2 linked regions of the Macaca fascicularis genome follow. The protein of the gene in region 1 purifies or fractionates together with the protein of each later gene. This does not show direct contact. Links are inferred from orthologs where the notes say so. Each region holds a gene or a part of one and is shown on either strand. Other genes may lie near its edges.

Region 1 (5,174 bases):
TGCCAGTCAGGCTCTGGGGATACGGCGCCAGTATGAAATGCAGGGTCTCTTGGTTTTTCCCCTTTTCTAGCAGACAGGTCATTACTTAACCACTTAGTTCCCAACTCCCACTCTAAAGCTCTGGTTAGCGGGTGATGAAAATCGGCACAAGTGATCACATACAGCAATCCTGACCTGTAGACCACTTCCTAGCTGCCTCTCCAAAATATGTAGTAAACGGTCATTGAGAAACTCCCTCCTGGTAATTCACAATGCCCACAGGATCAAGGCTTGGACTTGTTTCTAATAAAAATCTGCTTACTATCTCTTGTTTTATGCATGTGTGAAAAGTTAATTTCGCTCGGGAAAGTAGTCAGTTGTCATGTTTATAGGGCTGGGCTATGTATAAGATGTCGTCAAGAGTGACATTAAAGTGTAGAACAGAGACCGCTTAGGTGGAAGCAGGCAGCCTTGGATGCTAACGACAGTCCATGTGACTGACACGGGGTCACTTGAAACGGCAGTGCCTCCCTCATGGAAAAGCATCAGAAGGGCTTGTGAGCAAGGCTCACGATGAACCTCGATGAACATCCAAGTTGACAAACCAGTGTGGTGCCTAACAGAGAGGACAGAGCCACCAGCAGGGGTGCTCGGGGGCTGCTCCCCTTTATTATTAATGACAGCGGTTTCTCTCAAGTGTAGCGCCCTCCCCTTTGGGACAGTTGCCTGACCCCTGTCCATCAGCCCTTCAAGTACCCTCCTCAGAAGAAGAGCCCGCGCATTCGCCTGCCGATGCCTTGTCGATCATAGAGGACGTTGAACTTGTTCACAAACTGGTTCATGGTGTTGCACGTTTTCGTGATGGTGCCGAGGTAGGCCATGAGCCCCACGTCGTTGCATTGCTGGGAGGGAACAGAAAGGACAAATTCCTCAGGGGATCCCTCGTGGCATGCCCAGGGAACAACAGTCCCCGGTCCTCCACGTGAAAGTGACAGCATGAGCCCCACCTCCCCATCCAGGTTTTAAACTCACATCATAAAAATCTGTCTTGAACTTGTCTGTGCTGAGCACCGGGAGGCAGTGACACAGAGCATAGGCCTCCCGCAGGATCTCATGATTAAAGGGGACCTCTCCTAAAGGCACAAAAAGAGGCTGCATTAGTTTGGATGCTGTCACTTCCCCAGGAGGGAGAGGAAGAATGCCAGGGAAGTGCCCAAGGAAGCCCCTGTCCTACCCGCTTCAGAGGCCTTGACGTACTCCAAGATGAGCTTGACGCGGCTGTGCAGCATCTTGATGGCGCTGTGCTGTGCTATCAGGTGTTCAGCCACTGCAAAGGGACGAGGACAGGAGGAGGTTGAGACGGGATGTGGCCACACCTTCCAACCCCACTTCCAAGTAATCCCCTCCATTACCAGTGGAGTTCTCTCCACTGCCTGTTGCTGTCATTCGGGCTACGTGGTCTACACCAATGCGTTCCGCTTCCTCTGTGGCCAGAGTGTAGGTCAGCTCAGCAAACAGCATTGTGGCCTACAAGGCAAGGTAACCCACAAAGGGAGAATCAAAAGCAGGAAAGAGGCCAAAAGCAGGATCTGAGGGTTCAAGGGTAGGGTATTACCTCTCCATTGATTATATCGATGACAGACTCAAAAACGCTGACAGGAAGCTGTGAAGGAGATGGAGAAACCTGAACACTATATGCCAACATTTGGACGAGCTGCTTTCACCCATTTCCTCTCATCTCATCTTCCCAAGAAACCAGTGAAGTAGGGATTACCTCCCTTCACAGTTTGGAGATGAAATGACTAAGACAGAGTTACAGCTGGTAAGTGGCACCTGGCATTCCCCAATAGAAGAGTATCACACAGTAAAAGGCAACAGTGACAATCACGACAGAGTAGGCATGGGGTATTACTCACATCTGTGTGCTTGGTCATAGGGTTCAACTTCAGAAAGAGGGGGCTCTCAATGATCTCACACACCTGGAAGAGAGGGACAATGCACAGAAGTCAGTGACCCCCACCTTTCTCCTTCCCCTCATTCTCCATTCTCTGCCCCAGCATGCACAGGTGTGAGCATGTATACCTGCTTATGGACGTGGATGTCCGAGGGGTCAGGTGGCCCCCCTGTGGTATACCAACCCAGAAACTCCAGCTCCTTGAACACCTGTTTAACTGGAGGGGAAAGGGCCAGAACACACAGTAATTCTTTTTTTTTTTTTTTTTTTTTTTTTGAGTCTTGCTCTGTTGCCTAGGCTAGAGTGCAGTGGCACGATCTTGGCTCACCACAACCTCTGCCTCCCAGGTTCAAGCAATTCTGCCTCAGCCTCCCGAGTAGCTGGGACTTCAGGCACGCACCACCATGCCAGGCTAATTTTTGTATTTTCAGTAGAGATGGGGTTTCACTATGTTTGCCAGGCTGGTCTGTAACTCCTGACCTCATGATCCACCCGCCTCGGCCTCCCAAAGTGCTGGGATTATAGGCCTGATTCACTGCGTCCGGCCTGACATAGTCCTTTAAACCATCCTTCCTCAATGTGAAACTCCTGGTGTATTTTCACCAGCTTCTCCTCCTTTCTCAAATCCTGGCTCAGTTTAGAATAATTACTCCCTTCTATCCTGTCTTCTCTCATCCTTTACTTTCTTTTTGAGAAAGAACTCTGAACGTGTTCTTTTTCTGAGATCTCTCCAGCTACTCTCTTCACTTTTTCTCCTCTGTTCTTGGCGTCCTCTCGGGTTTCTTTCCAACCCTCTCCATCTTCCCCACCTTGCACATTTTTTTTAACTCCCACTCCTCTTCCCCACATCTATTCCACTCTCACACTGCTCCTCCTTGGTGTAATAATATTCCTTGTCAATTATAATCTTCTCTTCCACGGTGTGGGACAGCAGCTCAAAGGAGTTCATCACCTCGATATTTCGGCCCTCCTGCTTGCCAATCAAAGCCCCAATCACTGGGAAAGAGAATGACATGGAAAAGGTAACGTTAAAGAGACTTCTATGACCTGAGGGTCTGAGATGAGTGGGAACCAAGTATTGGGGAAACGATGATTTGGGGGAGGGGAATTGGATCTAGTAAAGGAAGGGGAAAAGACCACTGTCTGGGGGAGGTGAGCAAGGAGAGGAGACTGGAGTCTATGCCCAACACTCACCCTGCACAGGCCGCCCCTCCTGGGAGCGCATGCGGATCCAGTGGTCGGAGATGTTGAGAATGACAAGGGGATGGAGAGCGACGGAAACACTCCCAGTCACTCCGGAGGCCATCACGCTGGGAACTACTAAGGGTGGAGGGAAAGAGAGAGGGTGAGAGTCCGGGCCCCACGTTCTTCCCTGAAGATAGCAGTGGGGGACGACGGAGCCCGGGCCACACTTTTCCTCCCGCAACTTATCCCAGAGAAAGATGTTGCTGCTCCGCCCTCCTCCCTTCTCCCGGGAGCACAGCAAGGCCTCAACGCACCCCTGAAGGAGGTCTCCGGAAGCCGCCCGCGCACGGCCCGTTACCTGCTGCATCCACCTCCATCCCGCTGCTCCCTCCGGTCCCGTTTGTAGCTGCACCCGCCGCCGCCGCCATTTTCCCCGCGCCCGCCAGCCTCGGCCCCGCCCCCTTCCTTCCCGGCTTCCGTAAGGCGAGCAGCGCATGTTCTGTGTCTCCGCGGCAAGCGGCGGGCCTGGCGTCCGGGGAGCAGGCAGTTCCCGGGTCGCGGCGGGCGGCACTCGGTGCGGGGAAGCCCGACGCCCTCTGGGCCTCGGTGCCTGCCGGTTTTCCCAGACCCTGTCCCCGCCTGTCGCCTGCGGGTGACCTTGGACAAATTAGTTAACGATTTGATTGATCGTCCTCGTCTGTAAAATTGGGATAAGAACTCCTAGTTCTTAAGGCTGTTGCAGAATGAATGACATGTCGTGTTATTTCCCTCACAATAAAATCCAGACAACTAACCACAGCCTGCAAGGCCCTGCCTGATCTGGCCCCGGTCTGGCCTCTACTTTTCTAGCCCTTGATCTTCAGGCTACAGCTGCACTGGCCCTCATGTCTGGTGGTGGTGGTTTGTTTTGTTTTGTTTGAGACAGGGTCTCGCTCTGTCGCCCAGGCTGAAGTGCAGTGGCCTGATATCAGCTGACTGCACCCTCAAACTCTCAGGCTCAAGTGATCCTCCCATTTCAGCCTCCCGAGTAGCTGGGATTACAGGTGCACCCCACCACACCCAGCTAATTTTATTATTATTTTTTTATTTTGATAGAGACAGGAGTCTCACTAGGTTGTCCAGGCTGGTCTCCAACTCCCTGACAGAAGCGATCCTCCATCCTTGGCCTCCCAAAGCACTGGGATTACAGGCATGAGCCACCACACCCAGCTCTCCGTGTCTGCTTTCCACATGCCTCACTCTCGCATTCAGGAGCCTGTGTTTCCTTCTCTTGTTCATCGTGGTATCCCCTGTGACCAACACGGTACCTAACACATTGGTGCCTAGATACTTTTTGAGTGAATGAAGGAATAATTTGGGATGGAATCTGGTGTTGAGTTGCTCCATCTTGTGAAAGTTGCAGATACCAGGACAAAAATCACATTGTCAAGTCCAAACAAATTGGAGTCATGAGAACACCAAGCAGAAGGGCTCATGCTTGCATGTCTGATATAGGGACTGTCTCAAGGACTTTCGAAAATAACCCCACAAGGCCAGGCATGGTGGCTCACACCTGTAATCCAAGCACTTTGGGAGGCCGAGGCTGGCCAATCACTTGAGGTCAGGAGTTTGAGACCAGCCTGGCCAACATGGTGAAACCCTGTCTCTACTGAAAATACAAAAATTAGCCGGACGTGGTGGCATGTGCCTGTAGTCCCAGCTACTCGGGAGACTGAGGCAGAAGAATTGATTGAACCTGGGAGGGAGAGGCTGCAGTGAGCTGAGATCGCACCACTGCACTCCAGCCTGGGCGAGACAGAGTGAGACTCCGTCTCAAAAATAAATAAATAAATAAATAAATAAATAAATAAATAAATAAATAAAATAACTCCACAAGGCCAGGCATGGTGACTCACACCTGTAATCCCAGCACGTTGGGAGGCCAAGGTGGGAGGATCACTTGAACCCAGGAGTTTGAGACCGGCCTTGGCAACATGGTGAGACCTTGTTTCTACAAAAAATGAAAACAAAATTAGCTGGGTATGGTGGGGGCATGCTGAAGAAATTTATGCTTGGG
Region 2 (4,683 bases), on another chromosome or scaffold:
GTGGCGCGATCTCGGCTCACTGCAAGCTCCGCGTCCCGGGTTCACGCCATTCTCCTGCCTCAGCCTCCCGAGTAGCTGGGACTACAGGCGCCCACAACCGCGCCCGGCTAATTTTTTGTATTTTTAGTAGAGACGGGGTTTCACCGTGGTCTCGATCTCCTGACCTTGTGATCCGCCCGCCTCGGCCTCCCAAAGTGCTGGGATTAGAGGCGTGAGCCACCACGCCCGGCTAAGCTGTGACTTTTAGGAAAACTATGTCTCATTTAAATAAAGTTGAGGAGGGAACTTTCTGTGACCAACCTGAGCATGTAGGGGAGTTTGTTTACATTGAAGTAAGGTTCCACGGGGCACAGTGGAAAGGTTTGGGAGGGAATTCAGGGATGGAGGATGGGTCATTGGGGAAGAAGCTGGGAGCTGTGTAAGGATGAGAATTAAGAAGATAGATGGCCTGGGAGGGGGTATGTAAAAAGGAGAAAATTAATTTGCTTCATAAATAGCCCAGTAGACTGAATTAGTGACTGGGCGCAGTGGCTCATGCCTGTAACCCCACCACTTTGGGAGGCTGAGCCAGATGGATCACCTGAGGCCAGGAGTTTCAGACGAGCCTAGCCAACATGGCGAAACCCGTCTTCACTAAAAATAGAAAAATTAGCTGGGTGTGTGGCAGGTGCCTGTAGACCCAGCTACTTGGGAGGCTGAGGCATGAGAATCACTTGAACCCAGGAAGCAGAGGTTGTGGTGAGCCGAGATTATGTCACTGCACTCCAGCCTGGACGACAGAGCTAGAGTCTGTCCCCAAAAAAACAAAAAAGTAGACTGAATTAGTTTATTCTGCTGTATTTAAGAGATCTAATTATAGTTCTCTGCTGTTTCACCTTCATTTCTCTGATACGGAAAGATTTGGTTTAATTTCCTTTAAAATTATATATTTGTATTTTTAAATATATATGCATCACATTATTGTTTTTCAAAGTAAGGGTAATGAGGTAAATGAAAAGAAAGCCTCTCCTGAAAACCCACTACCCAGGGACATTATTTTGGTACATATTTCTCCAGACTTTTTCTCAGCTAACAAATAATATGTGTGTTTAGTTTTTGAAGATGTACTCAGTATACTGCGGTCACTTGCTTTTTTTTTCCATACAACATCTGGTAAATATTCTTTGTAAAAATAGTTAAACTGTTGGCATCATTTTAAATTGTTAAAGTAATTTATTGTAGGACCGTATTATGTTTTAATAATTTGTTATTGGACTTTTGAATAGTTTCTAATTTTTTAATAATAAGCCTAGATAGAAAAACCTTATATGTACAACTTGGCTATTTATTTGAATATTTCCTTTAGGTAAATTTCTAGGAGTTTTCAGGTATACTTTTTAGTTTCATTTTTGTCCCTTTTCTCATAATTTAGTGTTTGGCTGTGAAATCCTTTTTATGTTGCTAATTTTGGAACATATTTAAAGTATATTTGATTAACAGTATGAAATCAATGGAATAGGCATATATTACTTGTAAGATAACAATTTACCATTGTTTGACATATATATGTGTGTGTGCGCATATATATTTTTATGTATATTTATTTATTTATTATTATTATTTTTTTTTTATTTTGGAGATGGAGTCTCGCTCTGTCTCCCAGGCTGGAGTGCAGTGGCGTGATCTCGGCTCACTGCAACCTCCACCTCCCGAGCTCAAGCGATTCTCCTGTCTTAGTCTCCTGAGTAGCTGGGACTACAGGTGCATGCCACCACACCTGGCTGCTTTTTGTATTTTTAGTAGAGTCGGGGTTTCACCATATTGGTCAGGCTGGTCTTGAACTCCTGACCTCAGGTGATCCACCCACCTCGGCCTCCCAAAGTGCTGGGATTACAGGTGTGAGCCACCGCGCTTGCCCGACATATGTACATATTTTTAAGAGATAGGGTGTTGCTCTGTTGCCCAGGCTGGAGTGCAGTGGTGCTATGATAGCTCACTGTAGCCTCAAACTCGTGGGCTCAAGGGATTCTCCCACCTCAGCCTCTGAAGTAGCTGGGGCTGCTGGCAGTGTGCCACCATGCCCAGCTACTTTTTATTACTATTATTATTATTTCATAGAGACAGAGATTTGCCATCTTGCCCAGGCTGGTCTCCAACTCCTGGGCTCAAGCGATCTTCCTGCCTTGGCCTCCCCAAGTGCTGGGGTTACAGGCATGAACTATTGATGTATCTTTAATAGATTCTTTTCCTTAGGTAGGAAAGCCAAAAACATTAGTCTGCAAACCTTCAGTTTGTCTTCTCCCAAAGGACTTGTACATTTTGGACTTAGGTAGTGGAATTGAGATAATAGCAAAAATTGTTAAAACTCCAAGTTAATATTCTCTTCTGAATGCATAGAAGTGTTTAACATTGTTGTCTTTGATTACTTTTTTTCCAGGTGATTCATGGCAGGGGACGTGGAAGGATTCTGTTCCTCCATCCATGACACCAGTGTCTCTGCTGGGTTCAGAGCACTGTATGAGGAGGGATTGCTTCTTGATGTCACTCTGGTTATTGAAGATCATCAGTTCCAGGCCCATAAAGCACTCTTGGCCACCCAGAGTGACTACTTCAGAATTATGTTTACTGCAGACATGAGGGAACGAGATCAGGACAAAATTCATTTAAAAGGTCTAACAGCTACTGGTTTCAGCCACGTCCTGCAATTTATGTACTACGGTACTATAGAGCTGAGTATGAATACCGTTCATGAGATTCTTCAGGCAGCCATGTATGTTCAACTTATAGAAGTGGTGAAGTTCTGCTGCTCTTTTCTCTTAGCGAAGATCTGCCTAGAAAATTGTGCAGAAATTATGAGACTCTTAGATGATTTCGGCGTAAACATCGAGGGAGTCAGGGAGAAGTTGGACGCCTTTCTGCTAGACAACTTTGTGCCACTCATGTCTAGGCCTGACTTTCTGTCCTATCTGAGCTTTGAGAAGCTCATGTCTTATTTGGATAATGATCATCTGAGCAGGTTCCCAGAGATAGAGCTGTATGAGGCTGTGCAGTCTTGGCTGCGGCATGATAGAAGACGCTGGAGACATACCGATACCATCATTCAGAATATCCGGTTTTGCTTGATGACCCCAACCAGCGTTTTTGAGAAGGTTAGTGTGTTTGAAAGTAATAGACGGTACTCATCATTTAGTTAAGGCAGTGTATGTCTTTATAGGTAAGATTCACAGACTTAGTTAGGAGCCAAGAATGAATAACTTATAAGAGTACTTTATGTGTAAGAAGCCTGATTTTTTGTGCATTTAGGTTTTCTGAAATACATTTTGTGGGTGAAAGATAAACCACGTAGGTAGTAGAATAGTTTTATTTTAAAAGTACTTTTAAAGTTGAAGCATAATTATTTTATGCAAAATATTACATGTTTGCTGTAGCTTTTCATTTCACAAATTAAATCAGAACCGAGTCAGACTAGATCTCTTTTTAAAAATAAATTTAACTAATACATGCAGAAATTGGCATTGAGAAGAGTTCTGCATGGTATACATTAATAGAGTTTCTTATTCTTCTAAAATATAGCAAGGACATACAAAATAGCTCTTGAAAACCAATAGGCCCTAATGGTGATTTTCTTCCCTACTCTTACTTTCTGGTTTTCCCTGTTCTACTGTGAATAGTAACTAAATTTGACAATGAAAACATGTTATGTGTCTAAAAACATCATTTTGGCATTTCTAAACAAGTAGACTATAAATCCTCTGTCTACATTGATCAACCATCCCTGGGCACATTTTACCATCTCTTAAAAATAGTCTTTCTCTGAAACAGCCTTGCCCTTTTTTTGCATGTAAGCATGTTCATTTTTATAGAGTTTCACTTGTGATCCTTTCTTGCCCAAAGGTCATAGAGCAGATTTAGTAATTGCTTAATAACTTAATTGGTTTCTAATCACATGGTTACCTCTGGGGCTCTGTTTACTTCTTGCATCTCCTCTTTTTTCTAGAAAGCACACTGAAAACTTGGTCGGTCACCTTTCATGTTAAATAGTTCCTCAGCTTTAGTTATTAGACCTGGTTATAAAAATATCTGCAAAGGAGGGTTGTTTATGCCATTTGAAAAATAAACCCATTTGCGCCTTTGAATAACAGCAGCCTGACATTTTTTTTCCTCCAAAATGCTGTGAAACTGAGAATTCAGTTTTGTGGATTTTTATCTTTTATTCTCAGAATGTATTGATACAGCAAAAATAATTGAAACTAAAGTATGTGTGTATATATATATATATATAATGTTTTTTAAAATTTGAGATGGAGTCTTGCTCTGTCGCCCAGGCTAGAGTGCGGTGGTGCGATCTCGGCTCACTGCAAACTCCGCCTCCCGGGTTCAAGCGATTCTCTTGCCTCAGCCTCCCGAGTAGCTGGGATTACACAGGTGCCCGCCACTGCGCCTGGCTAATTTTTGTGTTTTTTAGTAAAGACAGGGTTTAACCATCTTGGCCAGGCTGGTCTCGAACTCCTGACCTCATGATCCACCTGCCTCGGCCTCCCAAAGTGCTGGGATTACAGGCCTGAGCCACCCCCCGCCCAGCCAAGAATATATTTCTTAATTATTTTTGGTTTAGTGATAATCATCCCCACATCAATTATGTAAATCATTTGTCTCTGATGTTTTGATTTTTTTTTTCCTTTTGTTTTTATTGCTTTCTTTCCC

The links.
Region 2: the proteins of COPS6 (region 1) and KLHL15 purify together in Homo sapiens (affinity purification with mass spectrometry; 3 studies listed by BioGRID and IntAct, with this or other methods). This does not show direct contact. The link is inferred for Macaca fascicularis from reciprocal best matches to the Homo sapiens genes COPS6 and KLHL15.

The regions. Positions count from the first base shown.
Region 1 is NC_088377.1:48,741,646-48,746,819, reverse strand, and holds COPS6 (COP9 signalosome complex subunit 6), read right to left. Parts: upstream 3,560-5,174; 5' UTR 3,547-3,559; coding exon 3,477-3,546; intron 3,254-3,476; coding exon 3,128-3,253; intron 2,930-3,127; coding exon 2,798-2,929; intron 2,151-2,797; coding exon 2,062-2,150; intron 1,959-2,061; coding exon 1,896-1,958; intron 1,643-1,895; coding exon 1,595-1,642; intron 1,507-1,594; coding exon 1,392-1,506; intron 1,307-1,391; coding exon 1,214-1,306; intron 1,113-1,213; coding exon 1,012-1,112; intron 882-1,011; coding exon 741-881; 3' UTR 622-740; downstream 1-621. UniProt on the Homo sapiens protein: Component of the COP9 signalosome complex (CSN), a complex involved in various cellular and developmental processes.
Region 2 is NC_088395.1:23,945,965-23,950,647, reverse strand, and holds part of KLHL15 (kelch-like protein 15), read left to right. Parts: intron 1-2,416; 5' UTR 2,417-2,423; coding exon 2,424-3,128; intron 3,129-4,683. UniProt on the Homo sapiens protein: Substrate-specific adapter for CUL3 E3 ubiquitin-protein ligase complex.